Linked DNA regions of Rhinolophus ferrumequinum. Each later gene encodes a partner of the first gene's protein in a complex. Links are inferred from orthologs where the notes say so. Each region holds a gene or a part of one and is shown in the gene's direction. Other genes may lie near its edges. The genes, in order: RAB11FIP2, RAB25 and RAB11A.

Evidence for each region.
Region 2: the proteins of RAB11FIP2 (region 1) and RAB25 are in contact, whole or in part, in a crystal structure (PDB 3TSO), measured with the Homo sapiens proteins. The link is inferred for Rhinolophus ferrumequinum from reciprocal best matches to the Homo sapiens genes RAB11FIP2 and RAB25. Residues at the interface, in NP_055719.1 of Homo sapiens: Arg475, Glu478, Ile481, Asp482, Asn483, Leu485, Val486, Met489, Pro493, Ser494, Leu496, Arg497, Val498, Pro499; in NP_065120.2 of Homo sapiens: Arg34, Ile45, Gly46, Val47, Glu48, Phe49, Ser50, Thr51, Lys62, Trp66, Arg73, Arg75, Ala76, Ile77, Ala80, Tyr81.
Region 3: the proteins of RAB11FIP2 (region 1) and RAB11A are in contact, whole or in part, in a crystal structure (PDB 2GZD), measured with the Homo sapiens proteins. The link is inferred for Rhinolophus ferrumequinum from reciprocal best matches to the Homo sapiens genes RAB11FIP2 and RAB11A. Residues at the interface, in NP_055719.1 of Homo sapiens: Glu478, Ile481, Asp482, Asn483, Leu485, Val486, Met489, Glu490, Pro493, Ser494, Leu496, Arg497, Val498; in NP_004654.1 of Homo sapiens: Arg33, Ile44, Gly45, Val46, Glu47, Phe48, Ala49, Thr50, Lys61, Trp65, Arg72, Arg74, Ala75, Ile76, Ala79, Tyr80, Arg82.

What each region holds. Positions count from the first base shown.
Region 1 is NC_046299.1:10,943,275-10,952,987, forward strand, and holds the start of RAB11FIP2 (rab11 family-interacting protein 2), read left to right. Parts: upstream 1-5,661; 5' UTR 5,662-6,020; coding exon 6,021-6,373; intron 6,374-9,713. UniProt on the Homo sapiens protein: A Rab11 effector binding preferentially phosphatidylinositol 3,4,5-trisphosphate (PtdInsP3) and phosphatidic acid (PA) and acting in the regulation of the transport of vesicles from the endosomal recycling compartment (ERC) to the plasma membrane.
Region 2 is NC_046305.1:672,704-682,086, forward strand, and holds the start of RAB25 (ras-related protein Rab-25), read left to right. Parts: upstream 1-5,239; 5' UTR 5,240-5,493; coding exon 5,494-5,536; intron 5,537-8,637; coding exon 8,638-8,833; intron 8,834-9,383. Other genes in the region: UBQLN4 (ubiquilin-4), read right to left, coding at 353-460; ragulator complex protein LAMTOR2, read left to right, coding at 1,611-1,678, 1,973-2,135, 3,700-3,789, 4,001-4,057. UniProt on the Homo sapiens protein: The small GTPases Rab are key regulators of intracellular membrane trafficking, from the formation of transport vesicles to their fusion with membranes.
Region 3 is NC_046289.1:45,039,362-45,049,424, reverse strand, and holds the start of RAB11A (ras-related protein Rab-11A), read left to right. Parts: upstream 1-5,411; 5' UTR 5,412-5,563; coding exon 5,564-5,603; intron 5,604-10,063. UniProt on the Homo sapiens protein: The small GTPases Rab are key regulators of intracellular membrane trafficking, from the formation of transport vesicles to their fusion with membranes.

The sequences.
Region 1 (9,713 bases):
ATATAGAAACAAAATCATATCTATATAAATTAACATATATTAACTTCTGCTTTTCAGTAAATCCATATATAAAAATTCACTGTATTGTATAAAATCATATCTACATAAAATATTATATATTGTAAACATCTGTAAAATTTATATTATTATATTGTGTATGTTATATATTGTATGTACTATATGATATATACAATATTATACATATATATATATTTATATATATGAAGGACTTTGAGAATTCTGGAGGTGGAAGGGTCCTCAGGGGCACAAAAAGAGTATAACTTGTCAGGTCCACAACTGCTTAGTTGCAGAGCCAGGCAGGATTAGCAATCAGGCCTTCTGATGCTCAGGCCCATGGGTTTTCCACGCTATCATTTACAAACTCCCAATAATTTCATTGTCAGTTGTCAAAAAGAGGCATGATTACCAAAAAAACCCAAAAAATAAAAAAATAAAAATTTATCTGCACATGTGCATAGGAGACCTGTATGGGTATCTCTGCAGCATTGTTTATGATGGTGAAAAACTGGAAACAACTTAAACGTCCTTTGGAAGGAGAAAAAAGATCAAATGGGGCTTATTCATCTGACCCAATACCGTCTGACAGTTAAAGTAAATCAATTCACGGTCCATGCATTGTTAATCTGTGTTGATTTTGTTGAAGAAACAAAAATTGCATGACATAATACTATGATACCGTAAAGAGGAAATTAAAAGACATCCACACAAAATATTCTTCTGTGCAAAATGTATTCTGCTACATAAATTCTTACCTTCCTCAACATGTCTTCATAGTTTGAAAAAGCTACAAAGAATATGAATCAAAGTTATGTTTATTACTACAAGTGAAAAGTTTGAAGCTTTTCAAAACCTCTTGCACCTATTTGTAATTTCTTCCTAATCTTGAGCTGTTAGGGTCAATTTCCTCACACAAGGCCTGTTAATAAAAGATATATTTACTTCCTTTCCGTAATGATCATTTTCATTTGGGAGAAAGAGCTCTCAGGACATTCTTGAGGATTTTTTTCTCCTGAATTAGAGAAGCCTTCATTAATAAGTTACATAAAAAAGGAATCTGCTTTAATATATTGACCAAATTCAATTACATAATTATAATGCAATTTGCTTTTTTGTGTTGTGGATATACTACTTAGAATTATTAAATGTTAGAGAATGCTTTAGTGGTTCCTATTAGAGACTCTTATTTTACAGATGAAGAAACAGAGTTCCAAAGAAGGAAAATTACTTCCCTAAAGATATGTAGCTAGTAATAATAGACAGACTTGGGATTAAGTCCCAGGCTGCTGACTGAAGCTCTTTATAGTATGACATACCACACTGTTCATGCATTACAAACTGTGTCCATACACTGCCCAGTCCCAGAAGACAAATGCATCAGCCCAGTGATAAAAACAGAACAATTACCAAAACTCCCCGAATACTACTTTATTACAATTACAGTTTTAAATCCATTTGCCAAATAGTTTTTTACTTTTTAGCTGGTTATGTGGAGATTAATCTGGGTTCTCTGAAGTTTTGCCATATATATGTGTACAAATTTTATATATATTTGAGTTGTATATATATTTGATGTGTGTGTGTGTGTTTGTGTGTGTCTAAAGTATGAAGATTGTAATGGAACTTTGGAAACTCCAACTGGAAAATAATTAATATCTGATCCATATCGTATGTGGGTGCATTATAACTACTCTTGACCCAGTGGGTTATTTAAACACTAAGAGCTTTATAATTGTCCTACAATAGATTTGCAAGTGGCAATTTTAGAGCTGCTGATGCTCAAAGGGAAATATTATTTCATAGTGCTTGGAATAAGTCTCCTATGGGACTTTACTGAAAGGTGCAGTGCTTAATAAATATTTTCATCTGTGTAGTCCTACACCATTGGAGACTAAATATTGACTATTTTACCTTCTGGTCAAATTGTTCTTATTCATTACATCAGTCACTGTAACAGTTTCAAATTAGAAATTTCAGCATTTTCCTCCTTTAAGATGTATTATTTCTCCAAGCTCTCGAATTTAGAATTATACTAAACATTTGGAAAATGTCATTAGTCTTAGAATAAAAAAAGTGTCTTTGATTCTGATTTGTTGTCCTTAAGTATGCAATCCTTCTTCCGTTTTTAGATTACTGTCCACGTATATCTTAAAATTAGTAAGAAGAATTTTTAAAACTGTACGACAATAAACATTTTTGCAGAACCACTTTGATCCCAGATCTTATGTAATTGCCATGATTTTTCACTGTGAGCGAACCATATATGTGACCCAACTGATATATTTTTACTCTCTTAATTGGATTAAAAAAGAAAAAAACACTTCTTATAGGAAATCACTTCACTTTCACAATGCAATTGTGAAGTCTATGTAGCTCATTTTATCTTTTTTTTTGTTTATATGCTTGCTTTGGGCAAAAATATGCTATTTTCTTATTCTGGCTTACAAACATTAAGTCATAACTCCTGATCTTGCCAAATAGTAAAATTAAAAAAATTTGGCTCTAACCAGGTTTTGGGAAAACTCAAATGAAATTTAGATGCTACAGGAAGAGATGTTAATAATTTCAGTTGTTTAGCTCCTGCCTTAAGAGTATTCCCCGAATTTTGTTGGAGTATGTTATTGCATTGTTGTGAACTAGCCCTGCCAACTTCCATCCCCGAGATGGCTGTATTTCAGAGGTGAGTGAAATGATACTTGTAAACAAGTTTATAATCATTAATAAAGCTTGCCAAACAATTTGAGCTCTTTAGAAACACACATTCACTATTATAATTAATTACCCATGTTTATGTAATTACAATCTTTAATAGAGACATGAAGACTTTTAAAAATGCAATTTATAAAAATTTGCAACATAACTAAATTTGTTTTCATGATGCTTATTTTGTTTTTACAAGTTTTAAGTATCAAATGTTTTGTCTCTGGGGATCCTGGTTGAAATTCCACCAGTGGCTATTCTAAAGCACCCTTTAAAAATTAATAGTTCCTAAAGAATATTTTTCTTTAAAGTTGACAACTGCCCACTCTGGGATCCAGATGCTATATTCACAGCAGAGTGATTTTTCTCTGTTTCCCACACATGGCCTTTTCATACAATGTCTCTCGAAGATAAAAATTTCTGCCTCTTTTATAGTAAAATTCCAGTAGAATGACCTAAAACTGGGTCTTTTCATTCTGGATGGTATCTAGCTCAGGATTATTCAAGATTCATCTGTAGTTTGCTTCCTTGAAGATCTTGGTGGTAAATTAATCTAGTCTCTTTTGAAGTGCCCACTTCATGCAGAACTCACACAAGCCACTGTGTGTAAGCAGCATTAAAAAGTTGGAGTTCCCAATAAGTAAAAGGAAATCTGTAGACACTAACAAGTGTCAGTGGGTCCTTCAAAGAATGTGCTGGAATCTGGGTGGTCTTTGAGGTTTGTGGTGTTATCCTTTGGAGTCAAGAAAAGTATCTTCCTTCTATAAGATTAAAATAATGGATAATGTTATCCTCTTTGCTCCCCTCAACCCCTGCCCAAGGTTTTTCAACTCTATGGTTGCTTTTTTGACACAAATATACTGGGCCCATTCAATATACCTCCATTCAAAAATATTTAAAGAAAAGACTCTTAGTTTTTAAGTGCTACTGCTATTATCCTGTAAACATTAAAAAACATGGAGAACATAATGTCCTCCTCAAATGGAAAAGTTTTACACCTTGCCTGAAAATAATAATCATAATACCTTACACTTTTATCGCCATTTTAAATTGGAAAAGTGTATGCACATTTATCATATTGTTTTACTCTCAAAATTAGTTCTGTAAAGGGAGAAAAGACATTAAGTCAGTCAATAAATTGTGTGCCTACTGCACGCTGGGCACTGTGAAGTGATGATCCCTACGGCAGTCCAAAGAATTTAGAATTTCCTTGAGAAAATAAAATATGAACAGAAATAAAAACAATAAAGGTGGTATGTAAGTCTTATAATTGAGAAATGGGCAAAGGGAGACACTGCTAGGAAATGTACATTCTCATAATACGCCTCCCAACTCTCTAATAGGTACTCTATCTACAGTTTATGGACAAGGGAACGGTGGTTCCCAGAATCTAAATTCCTTGCCTCCGGAGGCTAAGCGCCCATCGCAAGCTATGTACTGAATTTCTGGCAGAGCTGAGGCATCAAGCAAGGCTCCCGACTCATCAGCCGCTATGCATGTTTCCCACTAGATCAGGCTAGTGCGGAAAAAGCACAGTATTAACATCTCCCCATTTTCTTCTCTTAACAAAGCCCCTTTCATTCCAAGGGGTCCATCAGGCCTTGCCCTCAGGAGCAAGTAAGTCTGTGCTTTTGGTGAAGGAGGCTGTTTTTCTTAGTTGGTGATGACCAGAATGATCTCTGGGTTTGGCTTCCGCGTTGGACAGTCTTCCAGACTGCAATACCCCAAAGGTTCCTTTTGACGTGGAGTCCATAGAGTTGTGATGGGTCTTAAACAAGTTTTCTTACCCGTGATGAAACTGAGGCTCAGGGAAGGAAAATGACTTGACCAAGGTCATACAGACTAATGGTGGCAGACATGGGGTTAGATACAGATCTTAGGACTCCAGCCCAGTGCCTCCTGCCATCTTTATTAATTCTTGTTACTGTCGGAATCTTTTATCTGCTTCCCTCTCTTTCTTGGGTTTGTGTGTGGTGTGATTCCAGTCAATTAACAGCCTTCTCTTTTATCAAAAGGAAAAGAGTTGAGGGAAACTGTGTTTTCGGTCAATGAAGGGGACTGATTCACTCGACCACCATTTCTCGAAAGCCTGCTTTGTGCCAGGCACTGGGCATCCAGGGTACAGCAAAGTCGGCTTCCAAAGACTGAAATCGGGTCTTTCCCCAGATTGGCCAGGCCCCGGGTCTTAACTGACACCTCTCAGGAGCGGTCCCCAGCCCCCCTCGTATTCGCCCCCTTCCTCCTACTGCCGGCGGGTTTAGGCCCCACCGTCCCCGGACCCCGGGCTGTGCCAGGCCGGAGCAGCCAACGCCAACTGCCCGGAACACCCCGCCGTAGGCCTGGAGCTCGCGTCGCGCGCCCCCGGTCGCCACAGCAACCAGGGAGGCGCTGACCCCTAACCCCCGCGGCCCCGCCCGGCCCCGCCCCGTCGCGTTCCCGAGATCAACATGGAGAAAAGCAACCCGGAAGTGCCGCCGCCGCCACCGCCCGCCCGGTGCTAGGAGCTGCGGGCCGGGCGAGGCCGAGCCAGGTGCCCGCCGCCCGGCAGCCCGCGGCCTGCTGGCGCCAGAGCGGCCGGCTTCCCTGCCCCACGTCCCACTCCACCCCCAGGCGACCCGCCCCCGCCCCCGCCCCCGCCCGAGAGGCGGAGCTGAGGCAAGAGGGAGGAGGAGGAGGAGGAGGAGGAGGAGGGAGAGGTTTGCGAGAGCGAGCGAGGCCGCGCGAGCCGCCGGCGGTTCGTATTACCGGGGTCGGGAGGAGGAGCCCAGGCCAGGCCCCGCGGGCTAGCGTGAGGCGGGCGGGAGGCACGGAGGCGGCGAGGGCGGCCCGGCCGAGAGGAGGCGGGCGGGGGGCCGGGGGCTGCGAATTGGGGCGAGCGAGCTGTAGCCTGCAGGGAGGGGGCGCCCTGCCACCTCCGCAGCCCTCCGCCCGAGCCCTGGCGGCCAGGCCTGAGCGGCCGGTAGGCCGGGGAGCCGCCCGCCGCCGCCGAGGGCTTGTCCCGAGGGCCGGCGGAGCGTGAAGGTGCGGACGCGAGGCGGGGGTCCGCGCAGGGGCCGAGACGGCGCGGCCAGGTGATGGTGGGCCCCTGTGCTGCTCCTGAGGAAAGGGGCCCACCCCAGGGCAGCCATGTCCCCGAGCTGCCCCGTTGAGGCGCTTTGACATCAGCCACGGGGAAGCTGGGCAGCTGTCAGTTTGCCTGGCTCTGTTAAGTGCCCTTAGGATGCAGTGATTCGGCTTTAGGCTCTCCCTGCCGGAGGGGCGCTGCCTGCGCTTGGGAACTCGGGGCAGAGAAAAAGGACAGAATGATGCTGTCCGAGCAAGCCCAAAAGTGGTTTCCAACCCACGTGCAGGTCACAGTGCTTCAAGCCAAAGATCTTAAGCCAAAAGGCAAAAGTGGCACCAATGACACATACACCATAATTCAGCTGGGCAAGGAAAAGTACTCCACCTCTGTCGCTGAGAAAACCCTTGAGCCAGTCTGGAAGGAGGAGGCCTCCTTCGAGCTACCTGGATTGCTCATGCAGGGGAATCCAGAGAAATACATTCTTTTCCTGATAGTTATGCACAGGTCCCTGGTGGGTCTGGATAAGTTTTTAGGGCAGGTGGCAATCAATCTCAATGACATCTTTGAGGACAAACAAAGAAGGAAAACAGAGTAAGTTGTATAATTTATTTTGAATTTGGGGGAGTCTAACGATATCTTCTCTATGGATTTTCTGTTCTTGGAAGTTTTTTGTATACCTGGGGCGTTGGTTTTTGGACTGAAATATGACCCAGTTTTAAGCACCATCATTTGCGTGAATCGGAAGTAAAAATAGCCCTTGTGAAGAAATATTTTTTAAATGGAGTCATTAATAATTCCTTACTCTCAGTGGTTTGAGGTAATCATCTTATGTAATTGAATATTTTGCACGGGATTTTAAGTAAATTAACATCGTTTTCTACTTATATGAGGATTGGATCACAGTGTTGACCAACTAAAACGTGTGTAATTTCTTATGATCTTTAAACATTACAGTTTTCCAGGAGATGAAATAGCAGAAAACTAAGTCTGCCAATATAATCCGTGTGTGTGTGTGTTTGTGTGTGTGTGTGTGTAACTCTGAAGCTCTCAAAAAATAGTCAAATTTAGAACTCAGTATTTCCTTTTAGCATCATAAACACAGTTGGCCTTTATTTGAGCTCAACCATTTTTCAGGGTCAGTACATCTTGATGGAGTCTAAAGCTGTTCAAAGAAAAAAGTTTTAAAAGTATGAACAGACATCCTCACCTTGAACACACTAACATTTTCCTTTGAATTTACAATATATTGGAGCTGGTGTATTACTTCAGAATTAGTTCTGTATAGCCAGTGTGTTTAGACCACATTAAATGCTGTCATATTGAAACAGTGATTAAACTCTTGTGATGAAATGATTTAATGATGTCTTCAAGGAAAACATGACCTTTTTATTATGACTTTCAAGTTTCGTATAGATATATTCTAATTTAATAAAGCCATAATATAACTTAACACTAAGATATTATGTCTTAAGTTGAAAAATAGTATATTTTCAGAGATAGGTGTATTCACCCTTTCTTTAAACTTATAATATGTTTCTAGTCTGAGAGAACATAATTTTAATTGATGGAATTAATAAGAGAAAAAAATATAGGTGGAATTTATAAGAGGAATTCAAATTTCCAGAATAACTTTGGTGTTTCTTTCGGTCATAACTGAAATTTATTTACCCCTTTAGAAACTTTTCTATAATGATAACTTTCTTGAAGTTTATGTTGATTTCTTGTATTTTAAAACAACCATTTCTTGTTCTTTTCTATTCATATCTGTCTTCCTGCAAGTTTCTCTTGATTGGAGTTTTTATTTTTATTTTAAAAAGGTTTTGAATCAGATCTTTACCTAAGGTTTAATATGTGTAGGGTAAAAGGGTAGAGAGAGACATACCAGGGATGGTAGATGAACAATGGTAAATACTGAGACTAGTTAAAGAGGTGAAAATATTTTAAGAAAAAAGGAGAGAAAAAAGTTTTAAAAAGTGTAAAGTTGACTATATATCAATGATTTTTATAAAACTGTTTGATAACTACAAACTAGCTTTCAGTTTCCTCTGAGGAGTTCATCAGAATTAAATTGAAAAGTGGATAATTATCAAATAATTTGTTTCAAATTACCAATTTTGGATGGCACTATATAATATTCTAAGTACTTTGAATGTACACTTGTAAGTACACTGTAACTTCAAATTTCATACTGCATTTACAGTACTTTCCATGTTAATGAAGGATGTATTATAGGCCTTCTCTGAAATGTAAATTTTCCAAGTAAAAGTAGGCCTACCTGTGAACCCAGAGATTCTGAGGATGAAATAAGATTTTCAAGTTTCTTCTTCCTTTACTCCTTATCTTCAGCAGCATCACAATTACAATACATTTAGCTGTAAACAATAATACTGTAGTCTCCTTGTGGAAATTCTCTATTGGCTACTATATAAAATTGCGTAGAACGTTTGGGGAGGGAAATGCTTTAAAATGTTATCAACAGGGCTGCGAGGTTATTGCATGCAAAGTGATTTTCATATGTTATTAAATCCCTCACGTTTTCTTTCTTTGTGGATAAATGGGGACCACATATTTGATGAGATATCTTTATTGCTAATATTTCTGGTTTTTTAATATATTTAATAGTTTCCTTTTCCAGCACAGCTGTACATGTGGCACAGCAAGACACAGATTTGAGCCACCGGTGTATTGCAAGAAAGATATTTAATATTCTGCACATGGCTGAACCTTGTCAGCAGATTCCCAAGTGCTTTTTAGAAAACTCAAGTGAGTGATGAAGGTTACCAGCTGATTTAGAAGTCCCATGAAACTGCTGGGTGTGACACTTTTTACTCTTGACACTGAAGACAAGTATTTACAGCTTGTCTTCCAGTTGTGTCATGATAGGAGAAGTGTGACAGCTAAAACTATTACTTATTTTTATACCTTAACATTAAATGACTTTTTTTTTCTTTTCTTTTAAGGAGAAGGGAAAAAGGGTTCTGAGCCTGAATCCTTTGAGTGGGGCATAGAAAGAGAACTTCTGTATCTCCCACTTTAATGGGTGTCTGGGTTGGTTCTGGCACGAGATTTAAGGAAATAATACGTTTAATAATAGAATGGTAAAATTGTTCATGCTGCTATGTAATATCTATTTGATTTTTTTTTTATAACAGAAGTGGGTGATGTTGATTTTTTTTTTTTTAAATACTCATGAAAAGTAATAACAATCAGAGTCCCTAGAGTTAGGTATGACTCAAACACATGCAGATTTTAGGACTTTTGTGTGCTCCTCTGCAGTGCACCTGCGTCCTGGCCTCTGGCACCCTTACTGCCAATCTTGTCCTATTTCTGACCACACAGCACCAATTGCTTGGGAATAGTTCCCACATGTGTGGTGGTTTTTGAACATGGACCTGTGCCCACTAAAAATTGAACAGAGGCCATACACAGTTTAAAACCAACACTCAAGGGGTGAAAAAAATCAGCATTAATCCACTAAGTCCCAAATGCTGTGTCTTCATGTTATCTTTTTGAAGCCTGGGAAAACACTTCTTATCTCTGGGATGCTTTTTGAAGGTCTCAATAAGACTTCCTTGTTATATCATTTTCAAAATAAAGCAGCGAAGGTTATTTGTCATGCCTATATGTTAAATTAGTATATTTGTTGAAGTTCTTCACAAGTTTTTTTTTTGGTGGGGGCAGAATGGAAAATATTGTATTTACATTTACAGATTGTATTCAAACCCTGACTTGCTTCATTCTTTCAAGCTCAATCTTTAGTGTTCCCTACCAAAAAAACAAAACAATGCAGTGTGCGTGCACGGTATATTACAGCGTGGTTGTTTTAAGAATGCAGTTCTAGAAATAATAATTCAATAAACATTTATCTAGTGCAAGGCAAACTAACTTTATGTAGCTTATACTCTAGCAATAGAAATGTGCATCGTCTTCC
Region 2 (9,383 bases), on another chromosome or scaffold:
ATGCCCGGCCCCCATTTTGCCTCGGCGCCCCGAACCCCCATAAGTAACCGGGGCGCAAGCCCAGGGTCCTTCCCCTTCCCTGCGCAAGGTGTCCCCCTCCCCTCTCTCCACCACGCCCCCAGTCCAGGCCACAAGGCAAACCCCGGCCTCCCTTCCCCAACACGCGTGCCATGCTCCTCCAACTTACCCTCGCAGGACGCCCCTGACCCGCCTCTCCTCCCTTCTCGCTCCTCCGAGTGCCGTCTGGGCCCCCGCCCTCCTCTCCCAGGCCCTTCTTTGCGCCCGGCAGTCCCGAGCCACCCCCCTCTCTTCGCGGACCCCTCCTCCGCGCTCCCCCCGACGACCGTAGTACCTCCTTGACCGAGGCTCGATCGCAGATCACAATTTCCTCCTTGTCCTTGGGGGTCTTGACGGTGACCCGAATGGGGGGCCTCGTCTCAGCCCCGCTCGGCTCCGCCATGCCGCCGCCGCCACCCGGCCGCCCGCCAGCCCGCTCCGGCTCCTCCTCCTCCCCGCCCGCCCCGCCGGCCCGGCTAGGCTCCGGCGCCTCCAACACTCCCCTCTCCTCCCCTCCCCTCCCCAAGGCTTCACCGCCCCCTCCGGACCAGCCGCAGCCACAGCGCCCCGGGCGGACTGGGGGGGCCACTGCAGCAGTGTCCGCCCAGGGCCGAGCCTGGGGTCCCGCAGCCTGGTCTGGGCCTCGCTGGGCGGCGGCCCCTGGGGCGCTCGGGACGGGGGCGGGGCGAGTCCCTCACTGCTGGGGTGAGGGGCGAGCGCCCCACGGGAGACCACAGCCCATCCGAGCGGGCCAGAGCTGAGCCGAGGTCCCCTCCGACCCAAAACAGCTCCTGCCCCCACCACGGGTCACTCCCGCTGCGGGACAAAGGACTCTGTGTCGCCGCTTTATCTCCGTCCCCTGCGATAGCTGGTCTTTTATTGAGAAGCCCAAATCCTTCTCGGGCCTGGGGCCTCTGCCGACTGGTAGGATGAATTTTCCCACTTCTGGACGTCCACCTAAAATCTCATCTCTAGAATTGATTTCATTCCCCCGAGGATCGTGGCCTGAATGAACTCTATTAGGTACTGTTCCAGCGACCTGGGTTTTGCCTGCATGGCCTTCCCGAGCCTTAGTTTCCTCAATAGTATCTATGGCTTCATCACCCAGAATTGTGCATAATGTAGAAAATTGCTTTGAAAAGCAACCAAAGGTGTGCCTAACAAACACAGGGATTTTATTTTTTTATTTTTTTAATTACTGAGTCGTGGATTGTCAAGCGGACATGACTTTTCTCTCCCCGAGGGGGTTAAATGTCCTTCCAATACCGCCAATGTCCTTTCACTCCCGCTCTTTTCCCCCACAACCGCGTGGTCTCAGTGGAAAGGCGAACTATCGTTCCCAGGATGCCTCACGAGGCCTCAAGGAACTACAATTCCCAGTGCCCTCCGCGGTAAAGCGGGGTTGAGTCAAAACTACAAAACCAGGCGGAGAAACTACAACTCCCAGGGCGTTCCGGAGCAGGTCAGCTGAACTACCGGAAAGGGCTGGCGGAGGCCCGCAGGAGGCAGTTCGGAGGTCTGGGTGCAAAAACCCAGGTTTGGGAGCTGCAGGCATGCTACGTCCCAAGGCTTTGACCCAGGTGCTGAGCCAAGCCAACACTGGAGGTGTCCAGAGCACCCTGTGAGTGCGGACCGAGGACCCGAGCGACGAGCACTGGAGTCGGGCAGCGCGCGGCTCTCCGAGGGAGGGGTGGGGAAACATCTCCGGGAAGGGAGGAGGCAGAGTGGGCAGCCGCCTTGGAGGGCCCCTCTCGAAAGGGGAAAGCGACGGCCTGGGTGCTCTGGGCACCTTCTAGGACACACTCAACCTAGACCCTTGCTTTCTAGAAGCGCCAGTGGCGGGAGCTGGGATGGGAACCCAGGACTCTTACTCCCCATCCTGAGCACGTCGCTGCCCCTTCCGGTTCCTCGCCAGGCTGCTGAATAACGAGGGATCTCTGCTGGCTTACTCTGGTTACGGGGATACTGACGCCCGGGTTACCGCCGCCATCGCCAGTAACATCTGGGCCGCCTACGACCGGAACGGGAACCAAGCGTTTAATGAAGACAATCTCAAATTCATCCTCATGGACTGCATGGTATGGAGTGGGAAGCCACTTCCTCTGTCCCCCAAAGGGATCCCCGGGGCGACCTGGACCCGGTCCCGGATGGTTGGAGGGGCAGGATCTCGGGAAGATTGCTAAGAGTTGGCCCGCAGCACCATTTATCATAGGCAGAACCCTGTGCATCACAGTGGTGAGGAAGGGGCCCTGGACCCCGGGTCTGCCTGGGGTTCTGGTCTCAGCCAGCCACTTACCGTCTGTGGAACCTTGGGTAAGTTACTTAACCTCTCTGAGCTTCCTTATCTCCTCTCTGAGGTGGAAACAATAAACCCCGGTCCCCACCTCAAGGGGCTGTGGTGAAGATCAACTAACAGAGTGGATGTAAACTGTAGAGTGAGGTACACACAAAGTGCTGTCATGCCAGAGTCACTGACTCACAGGCCTATAAGAGTCTCCAGACCCTTGTCTAATCCCTTGAGGAAGGAAAAAATATGTAAGTTAAAAAAATAGTATGTTAGATTTCTAAAAACGCTATGGAGAAAAATAAAGCAAGGAATTGAGATAAGGGTGGCATGCGCCAGGGATAATCTCACTGAACAGGTGACATTTCATCACAGATTTGAAAGAAGTTGGCAAGCCATGTGGCTGTCTGGGGCATAAACATTTCTGATGGAGAGAACAGCAAGTGCAAAGGCCCTGAGGCAGAAAGGTGCCTGGTCACAGATCGACAAGGGAGATGTGGCTGGAGTGGCATGAGAATGGGGGGAGGATGATAGATGATGCCAGACAGGCAGTACATGGTTCCTAGCACACACTGGATACCTAGTGAAAGTTTGCTGAACCGAATTGAGAAGGCCGCAAGAATGAAGGGTTTCCACTGTACTCAGCTACCTACCACTTCCTGGCCCCCATTCCAGCCAAGGATGCATTCCAGTTCAGCCGATGACTCCTGGGTGCCCAGCTCAGACCTAGTGCTATAGGGCAATAGCTTTCAAACATTTGACCACAGCCCAGCTGTAAGAAACACATTTGATGCTGGAGCCCCGTGCAAACAATCACTCGCTCAAACAAGTTCCCTGACTACATGCAATGCATTTCTCTTCATTTCTCTTCTTTTCCTTCCTTTTTTCTTTCGATGCTAATCAACCTTCTTAATTAATCTCCTAACCCGGACGTCGGGTGTGCAGTTTGAAACACATTGCCATTGGAAAAGAGAACTAGGAGTGGGGTTTCTGCTCTCAAGCCTCTTATAGTGTCTTGGAGGTGAACCCATAATAATAACATAGCCCATTAGAAGAGCCCGGAATTCCTTCCCGTGTGCTAGTACCCTCAGCAACTGGGATGAGGTAGGGGTTACAGAAAGAGAACCGAGTTTCTGGGAGATTGAGTTTTCTGGGGTGACTTGGTTCGTGGCTGTGCTGAGGCTGGAATCTGGGCACAGGACCCCATGTCCAGGGCTGTGGCCAAAGCCCCCAGCTGAAGCTCCAACCCTGCCCGGGGCGTGGAAGGAAGATACAGTCTGTCTCACGAGGAGCCCGTGGGGAAAGGGGGCTTAGGGTGCCAAGCAGGGCCTCCCATCCCACGATGTCACCCCCACCAGGAGGGCCGTGTGGCCATCACGCGAGTGGCCAACCTACTGCTGTGTATGTATGCCAAGGAGACCGTCGGCTTCGGGATGCTCAAGGCCAAGGTATGTGTGCTCGTTGCTCCGCCACCTGGGCCCGGCCCCTGTGCTCCGTCAGGGTCCACTCCCGTCCCCACCGCCTTCCTGGGTCCTCATGTCACCCAGTCCCTGTCCACTGGGGCTGGGGGCTGGGTGCTCGGTATGGGGAGTCGACCTGGATTTGGGGTCCCTTTCGTGGCAGGCCACATGTGGGACGCTTTTCCTCCCCCTCCCGCAGGCCCAAGCCTTGGTGCAGTACCTGGAAGAACCTCTTACCCAGGTAGCAGCGTCGTAAGGGGCACTGGTGGAAGCTGGGGTCAGGCAAGAGAGATGACCATTGGAGGGGCAGGGCCCCCTGGGGAATCCTTCCTGGTGTGTGGGGGGAGGGGAGGGACTTTGTTTTTTCCAAGAATAAATTTCAGTCCTGTCTTACGTCTTGGTTGCTTTCTTGGCTGGGAGGAGTCAGGGGATGGAAAGGAGCAGGACTGGCTTACGGGTTCTTCATGTCCTGCGCCCCCACCAGAATCTCCAGTGGAGTGGCCTCACCTGGCCCTCGCCACTCAGAGTCTCACCCACCTGGTTGGCAAAACCTTGGAAGTGAGCTCCGAGGAACGGGGCCAGTGGGCGTCATGTTGAACAAAGAGAATATAGAGCCAGGGAGTGCAGTGTCCGTAGGTCCCGACTTTGGCGGGGTTGCCTTTCCTACTCTTGGGGTTGGGAGGGGGCCACCCCTTTCCTCTCCAAGGCCTTCACATTCTGACGCGCAGCTCCAGGTCTCGAAGCCCTCTGCAGACACCATTGCTTTCCGGTGAGGCCTCAGGTCCTGGGCAGGGATCTGGAGAAACCAGAAGACCTCTCAGGCCTTCGTGTCCTCACCCTGGCCCTACGCTTGCACCCCTCACCCCACCTGGCTGTTTCTGTCCAGGTCTCCTCCTACCTGTGTCCTTAGAGCAGGTGTGGGCGGGAAGCTACCAGCCCCTTTCCCAGTGCTATAGAAAGGGACCCATCGCAGGGAAGCCTATAGGTAGCAAGTTCCAGCTCCACCCAGTATGAGAAATGCTGCCCCTCCCAGGCCCAGAGCTGTCTGGGAGGGGCAGGAATTGCCGGGCCTAAGATGCAACTCCCAGAGCTCTGCGCACAGATAGGTGACTGCCACCCCATCAGCCTCTCCCCTGGGGCCCCCACCAGAGGCTCTAAAGGAAAAGCAGGAGGCCAAGCCAGCTTCTGCTCCTTGAGGGGCCTTGTCACTTACTGGCGGCTGGGCCCCCCTGGGCTGCAGGTGCTAGGAGCCTAGCGCCAGGCACTCGGTCCTCAGCTGTCTCTCGGAAGGTCCCGTCTGCCCCAGCTTCCCCACTACCACCCCCTGGAGCCTGCTCACCTCATTGCGGGAGCCTAGGCGGAGAGCAGACACCCAACCTGTCTAACCTGTCTGACGTCACCGTCTCCACCCACCTGGGCCCCAGGTCTCCAGTGCCCTGCTCTTCCTGTTCTCAGCTTCCGTCCTCTCAGCTTCCTTACAGCACCCCTACCTGCCAGAGCGGAGCGTCCCCAGGCCTTGCCTGGCCTGACACAGGCCCTCAGTCCCTCTGGCCGGCCGGAAATTCTTTTACCCCCAATGAGAGGAGGGGTGGACCCAGGTCTCTTAAGAGCTGAAGGTTGAAGGTGCTGAGCCAACGCGGAGACAGTCACCTGTGCCCCGAAGACACTTGTACCCTCTTATGTGGAGCCGAGATGGGGAACGGGACCGAGGAAGATTATAACTTTGTCTTCAAGGGTGAGTTGGGGTTCGGAAAGAGGAGGCCTGAGAAACCCAGAAAGAGACCAACAGAGCCAGAGGCAAAGCCTCCTATTTTGTTTGGTTTTAATCTCTAACCAGGAATCCACCCTCTTGCCCCCGCCCCCCCACCCCCTGGGCTCATCATTTGGATAAGAAAGAAAGCTGCAGGGAGCTGGGAAGGTCTGGTGTCTGGGGCGGCCCGAATGCTCTACTGTGTCAATAATGTGTTCCTCGGTCCCTAAGAGTGCCAGTGAGGCTCCTCTGCCCGTTCCTAATGCCACATCCCTAGGAATAGTCAGCCACTGCAGCAGAAGGGGCGGAGGTCAGACTTCAGAGAGGACTTCCCTCAGGCAGACTTATGGGGAAGAAAGTCATTTTTCTGGGCAGATATACAGAAAAGGGGACAAAGGAGGGTCCCGCTCTGTCTGTCATGGGGCTAGGTGGAGATATAGGGAAGATGTTGTGCATTGAGCAGGGGCTAACAGGACTCTGAGGGCTCCTGGGGCCGTGGCCTCCTCGGTCTGTCCCTTGGCATGTAAAGCCAGGCACTGGGTTCAGCGTGGCTGTCCCTGAAAGTGTGCACGTGTCTTTCCTGCTCTTTATCTCAGCCCGTGTTTGTGTCCCGTCCTCCTGTTCCCCTCCCCCGTTGTTCGCCACCCCCACCTCCTCACCCCCTTCAGGGCAGGGTGGGCTGGCGGGGCTGTGGTTCCCTGTCCAGCCACCCCACCCCACTGCCTCTCCCAGCCTCAGCCCCGCCCTCACTTGGGACTCAGGCAACTTGAGGTTGGGGAACCTGTACTCCCAGCATCTTTCCCAGGAAGGGAGACAGGGTAAAGGTTAGCAATAGTCTGGGACGATCACACTGCTACCGTGTTTCCCCGAAAGTAAGACCTAGCGGGACAATCAGCTCTAATGTGTCTTTTGGAGCAAACGTTAATATAAGACCCGGTCTTATTTTACTGTAAGACCGGGTCTTGTAATAATGTAATATAATTAATATAATGCAATGTAATATAATGTATAATAATATAATGCAATAAATATAGTATAACACCAGGTTTTATATCAATGTTTGCTCCAAAAGATACAGTAGAAGTGATTGTCCAGCTAGGTCTTATTTTTGGGGAAACACAGGAGTAACTACTGTTTATTGAACCCTTACTGTGTGCTAGCCGCTGGCTCGTTAATCACCACAACAGCCCCCAAAGTTCTCTTTCATTTTGAAAGCGTAATGGTCAGGAGGCAGACTGCCTTCCGATTTCAGCCCTGCCGCTTAATACCTACTGCAGGTTGCGGGGTCTCCAGAAGTTTAGGATGCAAGATGCTTATTATGGACCAACACCAGTGAAAGGAAGGGAGAGGGAACAGGATTGGGCAGAGAGGGAAGTGAAAACGCAAGACAGGGTCACCAAGCCTTAGCCAATGGGCCGGGAGCCCCGTAATACCTTTGCCTTGCTGGGGCCCTGGATGCAGGCTGCCCAGGGCGCGTGACCTCGGGTGAGGCAGCTGTCTGCCCCACGCAGGAGGAGGCAGCTGCTGGAGGAGCGGAGCGGGCAGCTGGAGGCTGCCTGCTGACTGCACTCCCTGGGCTGGGGCAAGTCCTTCCTGGAGGACACATCTGGGCAGCACACCTGTGTTTTTACGCACTAGCTATGTTATCTTGCTCAAGTCATTTAACCCCCCAAGCGCCTCCTTCCTTTGTCTGTAAAAAATGCAACGGTGGAACTAATGGCACTTGCCTGTGGCACTGTTGTGAGGATGAAGTGACTTCATATGTGGAAAGCCTCTGAGATAAATGTTAAGAATTAGATCTCCATTTCACAGACGCAGATGAGAGACAGGGTATGTAGCTTACAAAAGGTCACAAGGCATCACAAGCCCTGGTCTGTCTGACACCAAAGGCCCGAGCCTCTGGAGCCTGAGGACAAGGCTAGGCCTCCACCCCCCAGCAGGGTGAGTGGGGATGAGCTTCCCTGCAGGGGAGAGGCAGGAACACACACACACACACACACACACACACACACACACACACACACACACACACACAGCCATACTGTTCCCAGCTCTTTCCTGCCTTACACAAATGAGAAATGCCTTAAGCTGGAGGCGGGTGCATTTCTAGGTTTTATAAACAAGGAAACAAACCCAGAAAAGGTGAGCCACTTGCTCAAGGTCACATAGCTAGTCAGAGGCTGAGAGGGAACCAGTCCCTGGGCACCAGCATGCCTTTCCAGAACCACCCCGATGACTGACTTCCTCTCGTCCTGCTGCTCAGCTCAGTACCGGGCAGTGTGTTGGTCATGCTTACGTCAGCCGCCACTGGACCCCAGCGGCTCCCTGCCCCTGAAAACCTGAGGGTAACCGCACTGACCCACCAACCACAGTCATGGCAGTAACGGTTTTGCACACTCACCACATCCTGGCAATGTCTCATTTACTTCTTGCAACAACCCACAAGACAGGTACTAGTGTTATTCCCGTTTTTCGGATGAAAAAGGTCAGAGAGGTTAAATAACTTGCTGAGGGACACACACAGCCCCAGAGTCTTCACCTTGCAAGACGGACCCTGCTAGGGGACAACTGGATCATAGCTTCTTACACATTCACCTCCGGACGTGCCATGTGCCAAACTTTCTCCTCACCCACATTCCTAGTCACACCTCTGCTCCTGTGCAAACACACACCCCAGCCTCTCACTTATCCTCCCAGCTCATGTACAGAGAAACAAGCACAACAACGTGTCCCCTAGCCGGGAATGTGCACCCTCCCCCAGGCCTGCCATCCCTGTGCAGTCACAGCCCTGCTAACGTCCCCATGTAACACCCACGAGCAGGCCCCAGACATCATTCAGCCCGGACCCAGGCTGACTGCAGCCTTGTCTCAATGGACGGGCCTGGGAACTTGAAAGCACCAGACCCTTAGCTGCGTCCAGCTCCCAGCCCTTCTGCCTCGATGGACTCAGCAAGCCCAGCGGTCAGGAGCCTCAGCTCCCTCCTCGGTCTTCTGAACTCAGCTCCCCTTTGCTGGTGGGCAGACCCCGGGGCTCAGGAAGGCTTGGGCCCTCTGCCCACTCAGCCCTTCTCTCTCCATTCCTTCAGTGGTGCTGATCGGAGAGTCTGGCGTGGGCAAGACCAACCTGCTGTCCCGCTTCACGCGCAATGAGTTCAGCCACGACAGCCGCACCACCATCGGGGTGGAGTTCTCCACGCGCACTGTCATGTTGGGTACCGCCGCCATCAAGGCTCAGATCTGGGACACGGCTGGCCTGGAGCGGTACCGAGCCATCACCTCGGCGTGAGCCCCGGGCTGGGGGTGCTGGGGAGGTCAGGGGACACCTCCAGAGGACAGGTGGGGCACAGGAAGCAGGGCACACAGCCATGTGCACCCTGCAGGGACCGCAGGTCGCCACAGCCCTGGCTGAGGACACACCAGTACTGTGAGCCACACAGAGTCTGAGGCCCGGTCTAGTGATCCTGACCACTGGGACCCAAAAGAGTCATTGCCACCACAGCCTCTGCTGTGTGCCCAGAAAGGCGCAGGTGCCTCACACTGGGCATTTTGTGCCATCCTCTGGGTACCATGGCCGTGAGGGGCTGCCGTCACGAGGCCCAAGCCCGTGAATCCAGGTGGGGCTGGGATGGGGCAGGTCCAGGGGCTGAGAGCACCCTCACAAAGCACTGCAACCCTCACGGTCTAACCACCAAGGTGAAGGGCTGGACCCCTCTGCTGCATTTTACAAAGACTCAGAGGACACCACAGGAGAGTGTCTCCCAGCCAGTGTCAGGCCACATGTGAGAAGGGGGTCTGTGTGTGTGTGGTGGGGGCAGCGCCTGCCAGGGGCTCT
Region 3 (10,063 bases), on another chromosome or scaffold:
GTAAAATGCAGTATAGGGAATATAGTCAATAATATTGTAATAACTATGCACAGTATTAAATGGGTAATAAACTTATTGGGGTTATCACTTTGTGTTTAAATGTTTAACATGTGTATAAATGTTTAATCACTATGTTGTTTTTTACACCTGAAATTGAGAAAAAGAGAGATACTGTGGCTGAATGGATAAGAAAACAAGACCCCTACATATATATGCTGTCTACAAGAAACTTACTTCAGATCAAAAGACACACATAGACTAAAAGTAAAGGGATGGAAAAAGATAATATTTCATGAAAATGAAAAAAATAAAAAAGTTGGGGTAGCAATACTTATACCAGACAAAACAGACTTTAAAACAAAAGCTATAACTAGAGACAAAGAAGGACCCAGTAAGACTACTTCTGGTTATTTATTGGAAGAAACCCAAAACACTACTTCGAAAGGACATGTGCATCCATATGTTCATTGCAGCATTATTTACAATAGCCAACATGTGGAGACAACCTGGGAGTCTGTCGATGGATGAATGAAGAGGAGGTGGTACATATATACAATGGAATATTACTCAGCCATAAAAAAGAATGAAATTTGCCATCTGCAACATGGATGGACCCAGAGGGTACTGTGCTGACTGGAGTAAGTCAGACAGAAAAAGACAAATGCCATATGATCTCATTTACATGTGGAATCTAAAGAACAAAATAACAAAACAGAAACTCACAGATACAGAGAACATTTTGATGGTTGCTAGGTAGGAGGGGAGTTAGGGGGATGGGTGAAAAGGTTGAAGGGATTAAGAAGTACAAATTGGTAGTTACAAAATAGTCATGGGGATGTAGGGTATAACCTAAGGAATATAGTCAATAATATTGTAATGCCTATGTATGGTGTCAGATGGGTACTAGATTTATTGGGGTGATCACTTCATAAATTATATAAATGTCTAATCACTATGCTGTACACCTGAAAATGATATAATATTGTATGTCAACTGTAATTGAAAAAAAAATTATAAAAAGAAAAAAGAAACGACTGAAATTTGATTAAATAAAAATTTAAAACTTCAGTACAGAAAAAAAGCATCATTAATAAAATTTAAAAATCAGGTGATAGAGTTGGAGAAAATATTTATGCTATAACCAGGAAAGGATTAAAAGGTAAGAATATGAAGAGATCCACGTCAATAAGATTCACGTCAATAAGATACATAATCCAACAAGAAAATGAACAAGGATATTGACAGGCAATTCAGAGGAAATATAAATGGCTAATAAACATAAGAGAAAAAGTTTATACTCACTAGGTATCAGAGAAGTGGGAATTATTGGGCAAACCTGGGGCAAAAATTAAAAATATTGCTAGTGTATTTTTATATTTGTATGTGAAATATTTCAGCATAGCTGGGAAAATGAACATTTGGCTTTTCCAGCCTCTAATGGGGAAGTGGGCAAGGAAGAAATGACTTAGGAATAGGTTTTTATTTAGTGAACCCTTAGTATTTACCATATCCACAGGTAAGGGAATGAGAATGGTTAGACAAACTATGGTACATGCTTGCTAAGGAAAACTATGCAGCAAATAACTCAGCATGGACGAATGTGGAAAGATTTTTCAAGATGAAGAACAGTTCACATAACCTAATTTTATGCTCAGTGCATCATGAGGCGATTTTGTTGTTGTGCAGAGTGCACTTACAGAAACCTAGATGGTATAGCTTACTACACACCTAGGCTATACAGTCTAATCTTACGGTCTGTTGTTGACCCAAACATAGTTATGTGGTTGGAGCATGATTATATTATTTAAAGAAAGCAGTTTTATCTCTGGGGTTGGAATAGGAATGGACGTGGAGAAGGAATTGAAGGATTTACTCTATAATTTGGTATTAATCATTTACATTAAATTCTTATATTTCTTGAGAGGTTAAAAAAAGACATCTAGCAATTCCTACCCCTTCTCCCAAAAAAACCCAAGAAAGTAAAACCCTAATTTTCTTTTTTGTCCTTGGAATCCACTCACCATTTTTTCCACAACAGCCTTTGACTTTTCTTTTTCTTCTCTATTCCCATAGCTATACCCTATTTCTATTAGTTTGGGCCTGGTTAATTCTAATAGCTTTCTAACTAATACTCATACTTTCAGTCTTTCTTTACCGTTTTCCTGCAGCTCACAGCCAGCTTACTTTTCCGAAGACCGGGTTTACTTCAATCAACCCTGTCCACAAACATTTGATGGCTTTCCCAAACCTGGTGCTAACAGGTGTTCCATGGGAAGAGAATTCTGGTGAATTTGGTAAATGTTGTGTTCAACAGTTTAAAAAAAGATTTCTTCAGAGTGAAATAGCTAGTGTTTAAAATGCCAATGTGTTAAGGGAACTTCTAAGGCGGCAGGGAGAGACTGTGTATTTCTCAATTTATTTGACCATGCAATCCTTCTTTTGAGGAACACTATTGACAGAACATTGAGAAACTGTGACTTAAGGGGAAAAGTTCGTAATTATTCTTCTGGCATCAATGGCTTTGCTCAACTTGTTTTTATCTAAATTCCTTCACTTCCCAAAATGAGTTTCTTTCCCTGCTTCTTCCTTCAGGGGTCAATGCTAGTTTCTCCTCCTCCAGGGAGTTCTTCCGAATTATCTCAGTTTCTTTGAACTGTGGCGCGTATCACCAGAACTCTCGTTATTGATTTCCTCCCCTTTTCTTGAGCCCATCTAGTGTATCCACCAGAGTAGGGCCACGAATGTGTCTTATAAATAATCTGTAGTACACATAATATTTGGCTGCTTGAATACTGTGCTTCTTCCCCAATGTGGATAATGTTCACCCCTACACAGGCAGTATCTAGGCCTTAGATAAACCTATTGCTGTATCCTGTCACAGAAAGCACTGACAATGGTACTGTATTAGTTTTCTATTGCTGCTGTAACAAATTACCACACACTTGGTGACACTGAGCTAAAATCAAGGGTGGTGTTCCCTCTGGGGCCCTTAGGGAAAAATCCATTTCCTTGTCTTTTCCATCTTTTAGAAACCTCTGCATTCCTAGGCTCCTGGCCCCCTTCTATTCCATGTTCAAGGCCACAAGGGCTGGCTGAGGCTGTTAAAGAACAAAACTCCATGGTGTAAATTTGAAGAGCTAATTGTCCTTATTAAGCAATTCATGAATCAGACAGCATCTTATCTCGCAACTAGAAAGGCGTCCCACTGGGTTGTATAAAATGGGAAGACTTTTATAGGCAGAAAGGTATGGCAGGGGTGTTATTAGCACAAGAAAAGAAAGGATTATTTTTAGGCCAGGTCACATTCTTCTGGGTAGGAAGTGGCAGGCGTTTTTTTTTATCAAGCAGATTACCTCACAGTATTGATGAGGAAATTCCAGACTGCCAGACAGATTGGTTAAAAATTCTACTCCCGGTTTGAATAACTCTGGTGTATACCTGAAACTAATATAATAGTGCATGCTAGCTATATTTTAATTAAAATCTTTTTAGAAATCTATGCCTGGGAGAGGCTGAAACTGCAATTAGCATATTTGTTAAGTTTTGGTTTGTTGACATGGCTTAGCAAAAGTGACTCCACTCACTTTTGCCTGTTGTTTCTTCTTCCTCCTCCTCTTTTTTTTTTTTTTTTTTTTACAAAGTTGTTAACCTAAAAAAAAGGGCAAAGTGAGAGGCAACAAGCCTTTATTTGAGATCCAAAACAATAACTATTTGGGAAACACTGGTTCAGAAAGAGAAACCCAAATAGTGTTCTGATTAGGAAATGAAAGCAAGGAGTATTTATGAGAAAGGAAAGGGGAATCATTACATGAATAGAAGGAAGGAATTTCTATGGGTGTTAAGCTAAGGAAGGAATTTCCTTAGGAAGGAATATATGTACAGATAAGTTAACATACTGATGATGCTAATTCTAAAGAATATCCTTCATTTTCAGTCCTGTGATCATATCTGCTTCCTGTTAGTTTTGCAAACAGTTCTTTTGGAATACAATGCTGCTTTAGGTCCAGTCCAAAGGTTATTTTGCCCAGTTTTAACATCACAAAGGTTTGCGTAAGGTGTGCAAGGTAGTTCCTCTGGGATTGCAGCTTGGACACCATTTTGAACATGAACTCTGTTTATGTTCTTTTTTAGAAGTCCCTTCACACTGCCATCACTCTGACCTCCTCTGCCTCCCTTTTCCACTTTTAAGGACACTTATGACAACATTAGGCCCACCTGGAGAATCAGCATAATCTCCCTATTTTAAAATCAGTTGATTTGCAACATTAATTTCCATTTGCCATGTAACTGAACATAGTCACAGTTTCCAGGGATTGGGAAGTGGACATCTTTAGGGAGCCATCATTCTGCTTGTAACAGGCACCCCTGCTCAAGTGTAAATTGAGGTATGCATATAGGAGATGGGGGTGTGGCAAAGCAATAGGAAAAACTTTTTGGAATAAAACTCTCTTTAAATCCAGGGAGGCCCTGCTGCTATGATCTTGGGCAAATCACTTGTCTCAGTATCCACATTTCCGCTAAAATGAAAATTGCCATCCTTTGCTCTGCGTGTTAAATGAAATAATTATGTAAACGAGTTTGCTTTAGAGGTTGACAAATGGGGTTTAAGAAGTTCTTGATGAATCTTGATGAGGCGGGTGGGCGAAATTATCTGAATGGCATCTGGAGATTTCCGAGAACAGGAGTGAGTGAAAAGCGCCTGCCCTTGCATGATATCGGAGGTTGAAAATTCTAGCAAAAGGAATCAAGTTTAATCGAAGCTTTTCAATTAGGTTTGAGGCAGAGGACCCAGGTTAAAAAAGGGGAGAAGTGAAGAGGCTCCTTAGGAGACACCCAGGTAACAGAAAGTACAGAATTGAAGGGGGAAATTTGTGAGGTCTTCCTAGGCAAAGGTTAAATTTTGTGAAATTCCCTCTCCGCTGAGTTCAAGGCGATATATACCATAGTTGTATAACAATCACTTAGCAACTAAGCAGAAAAATGAAAAACGTTGGCCAGGGAGAAAAAAAGAGAAGGGTATAGGTTCCACCGAGATTTGAACTCGGATCGCTGGATTCAGAGTCCAGAGTGCTAACCATTACACCATGGAACCACCACACGTGTGCGGGCCGCCTTGGGCTCTCTAATTCTTAGTGAACCCCGCCCCCATTCACAAACCGACCATTTGGAGCCGGGGTTGACGCTCTCCTCAGAGCCCCGGGATGGCGGCCGGAGGAATGAGGGAGAGGCCACCAAGAGTGTGGTGAGCTGCTGTTAGGACTATGATCAGCTTGGAGTGCAAAGCCTCAGATTGTCCTCTGAACCTTTGGGAGGAGGTAAGAATTTGAAAACGGACGCCGTTTCCGCGCACACCGCCCTTCGCAGGCTCAGGGGCAGGGCACCCCCACCCCCGGAAGCACTTCCCCTAAGGGGCTGGGGCCCGCCGGAAGTGGCGTAGCAGCAGGGAGGGGTTCTTCACCCGGTCAGGCAGCTGAAGATCCGCGCTCGGGTTACCCCTGCAGCGACGCCCCCTAGTCCCACCGATACCACTGCTGCTCCCGCCCCTTCGCTCCTCGGCCGCGCAATGGGCACCCGCGACGACGAGTACGACTACCTCTTCAAAGGTGAGGTCATGGGCTCCCCTCCTCTCCACCGAGTCTTGTTCGGGGGCCCGAGACACTCCCGGGAGACCCGCGCGGGGGCTACCCCCGTGTGAAATCGGCCTTCCTTAGCCCTTCCCTCTCGGTGCAGTTTGTTCCGCGGTCTCGCGGCTCAGCCCCTTTTCCTCCCCTCAGACAGGGAGTCGCCGCCACACACCGATCTTTGAGGGACCTCCCCAAAGGCCTTCGCTGGCCTCATAGCCCCTCACCGTGTGTCCTTCTCTCGGCTGGCTCCCATCTCCCACATCGTCTTCCTTTCCGGGATTCTAGGGCCGCTTCAAAGGGGTCACCCCTCCCACCATGTATCATTCCGATTTGGCGCCCCCTCCCCCTCAGTGTCCACCCTGCTGGACTCACTCCCCTTCCTGAACCGCTCTGACCAGCCCTTCCTTGGCTCCTCATCTTGCCTTCGGCGCAGACTCCCACTACAGGTCTTATCTCCCCCCGTCCCCTCGGACCCGCGGCTCTCCTGGCCATCTTCTTCCACCCCGGGGCTAGGCCCTCGTGAAAATCTGAGCGGGCCAGGGGCCCCCACCCGTCCCACAGTTCTGTCCCGGGGATTGGTAGCTCTTTCTCTGCCTTCCCTCCCCAAGTAGTTTAGAGCTCTCCCACATCTCCCGTGCGACCCCACGGGTGGGGAGTAGGGCCAGAGGGATTGTCAGTGACCCACGCACGCACTTGTCGCAGTGACCCGGCAGAGTGATGTGATTTCCCTCCTAACCTTTTTTTCTCCTACCCTCCCTACCCGGCGCCACCGGCCCGGGGTAACTCCTGACTCTGCTCGCGGGAAGGGGTTGCGGATGGGTGGTGGCTGTTATCCTTGCCAGACCTGAAGGCCCAGTTCCTGAGCAGGAAAGGCTGTGCGCTGCACAAATACGAGCTCGTTTTATCATTCTGGACTGATTGCTTCCTGCAGCAATACTGGGAGGGTCCAGCCTTTTAGTGTTTGTAGAACCAGAAGGGAAGAGTCCTAATTGGATCCATACCTTTCTCAAAAGGTGTGTGTGTGTTTGGGGGCGGGGGTTGTGTGCTCTTTGGTGAAATCAAATGTTTCTTATGAGAGAGAATCGTAGTGCCCTTGAGTAAAACCTGTTAGAGGGTGGGGAATGGATAGAAAGAATTGCTTATTGGGCAGTCCGGAAAGAATCCAAATAGTTTTTTGTGGTTTTTGGTTTTTTTTAATCAACAGATAAAGGGGTACAGTTTTCCCTGAGAAAAAGTACACTAAAAGCTTTTTTGTTCGGTGAATGCGCCCTCACTCTGATGCTCTTTCTTTGCTTACTGAATTAGGAGGGCAGCCATCAGTGGTGTACTGAACAAAGATCATTACCAGGGAGGAAGAAGCCATTGCTTTAAAGCTTTACAGTGGAGGGTGGAGTTTAAAAAGAGTGTTAAGCATGGTGACAGTTTCTGACTTTGCCATTGGGTGCTCAGAATGACTAAACGAAGGCGGTAACATTTCTTTGCTTTACCAATACTTTGCAAATCTTGACAACCTAGCTGATGACATATTCTTATCACCACTTACTCCTCTGGGCCAGAAAATTCTATTATATGTTGTGAGTACCTTCAGTATCCTCCCTTTCCCCGGGAGAAAGTCATTTACAGAGAAGAGGGTACTTAATGCATTTTACAAATACAAAAAAGAAACGTGCATTAGTTTACATACTGTTTGCTGAAGTCATCTGAGGTCTGGTGAAGTTACTTAAGTGAGACCCTGGAGACTGGGGTTCAGCCATTAAAGGGAGAATTTTTTTTTTTTTTTTTTTTATTTAGGTACAGTGGCAGTGGGCCGCTAGCTGCCTTTGAAATAATTAATTTAGAACAAGAGACTATCAGTATTTCTCCTGTTTGGTTGGGAGCTTAAATATTGCTTATAGAAGCCATTTATTTTTTCACTAGTAATGTTATGCTGGATTGGCTTAAGGAATTTTAACTTAATTTTGGGCTTAGACTATCTAACAATGATTGAGAGCACAGGGCTTTGGAATCACACAGGCGTGGATTCAAATCCTGACTCAGGTCTTAAATTTGCTTGGTAACCTTGAGAAAGTTAACTTTCTTGAGCCTCAGTTCCCTCATCTATGAAAAGAAAACAAGACATACCTCTCAGGACTGTTGTGAGAATGAAATGAGACTGGCTGTAAAATTTTAAACTTCTGTGAATACTCTATAAATGGTAATAATGTGAAAGAAGTTACTGTGGTTCTTGTCAGTTATTTTTACCTATGAATCTTTATAAGAGCAATTAAATAATAAGAAACTTAAAACTAGGAAGTTCTAAAGTATTTTATATTTCCATGGGTTATTGGTTTCATTTTGTTGTACATTTTCCTGTTTAAGGTAGGGTGTTTAAAAATTCTGCTGAGAAGGATTTCTTCCACTTTTTTTAAAGCTCTTAACAGGATGTGTCACTTTTTTGTTCTTTTTTTTTTTTTACTTCAGGGCTGATTATTTAGCCAATTTCTTTATGGAATTATAATTTAAAATTAAACAAAAATGAAGCAATAATAATTTTATTTTAAAATGATTTCATTCAACAGAGATTTATTTACTGAGATGAGCTGCAGCTCTATTTGGAAGAAGGCTTATCTAGCAAAGTTAATAGTTGAGGGAATTTGTAGTTCGTAACTAACCAGTTGAAAATGAAGGGATATTTTGATTCATATAAGATGGAGTGGTCCAAATGGAAATGTAATATAGGGAGAGCAGGACAGTTATTCTAAATGATGTATTTGTTCTTGAACATTAACCTTTAGTTAAGCTGAATATTGAGACTTTGGAGGTAGGAGTTAATTTTATTTTAAGAAACTTGACTTTTTATTTTTAAGTACTTTAATTCTACAAGTATTTACCAACAGTGTGGTTAAGGCCCTGTGGGACACATATGTGAAACAAACATCAATCATAGTTCCTATTTACAAATACTGTGGTAGACACCAATACAATCAAAGTCACATTTTCGAAAATATCCAGATATATTGTCTATACCAGTTTCTTTTTAATCTCATTGAAGGTCGGTAGTAATTAGCCGTCAGCTGATTGTCAGTGGAAATGATCGTAGGAACTTTGCTGTCTTGCATCTTGCTAGTTTTTTTCTTTCACAACTGTTGGTTGAGCAACTCAGATTCTGCTGAATCTGGAAAAACATGTCTAGACTTAAGCCTTATTGAATGCATTTTATTTTAACAATTCTTTTGGTGAAATTGGACTATGAATATAGTTGAAAGAGTAAACATATTTCTAAGTTTGTTTATTTAAAATAGTATGGAAATTATCAGTTATTCCTTCAGGTGATAACTTGTAGTAGGTCAGATGTGCTATGATTGATTTGTTGAATCAAATTTTAGTCCGGTGTATTAGCTTGCGAGAGAGTGTATAAAAGTAAATGAGGGTAAAGAGGTGGGAATTTTAATTAAATAATGGATAATTCATATGTATATTCTGTTTTTATGACATTTAGGAGTCTAATATTTGGTATATATTGAACCAAATTTCATATTAGGTATTAGAGATACTTAAAATTCAGCAGACGTTAACCAAGTGGTCGTAAATATTATCAGGTTATTTTAGAAATGCTGTAGCTGTTTCATATGTAGATGCTGTTGCGCATGCACGTATGTATACACATTACATCGATGGCTGTAGTTATAAAATGTTTAAGTACTTTTAACCTAAAATAACTATAGTTATGGAAAACAGCAAAGTCACCGCAAATTCCTTTCTTGAACTATAGATGTGATCATATAGTTTGGCACATTTTTAAAAAGCAATTAAATTTTGTCATCTTAATGAGAGAAGTTATTTTATTAGAAACTAAGTTTGAGTCCATGAACTTTTTTTTTTTACCATTTTCTATTAGAATTTTTTCCTCTAAAAAATGTTTTATGTAAAAACAAACAAAAAGGGAAAAAACCAAAAATTACTGGAAACTTGATGGTTCAAGTGGGGAGAAAGGAGAAGAGGAGCATGTTTCTGAGGCTCTGAGCCTCTCCAGAGAAAGTCCTCACCCTTGAAATGCCCTCTTTGGGGGGATAGTGGTGCTGAGAACAGCGTCCCCTTGCCCAGCCTCTGCCTGAAGAAGTGGGCAGTCACAGTGGTCCAAGGGCCAGAGGAGCTGGAGTGGGGCAAGGGCCGAAGGGGTGCACAGGAAATAGTCAGCTATGGGCTTTTTGGAGGGGATGCCCTGTGTCTCTTGGGGAGCAGCCTCGAAGATGATCTTTCTGGATATGTTCATCTCGCGCCAAGATGGCTGCCACATTCCCACACCTGGAAGTTGGAGGGTGGCAATTAAAGAGTGTGTCAGCCTTGATCCCCACCCCCCCTTCTGGACCTTCTGGCCCAGGCAGCTCACTGATAGCAGTAGTTGGGTGCAAACTACACAGTGAGCACAGTGTCATTGAAGTGCCACTTGTAACCTTCCA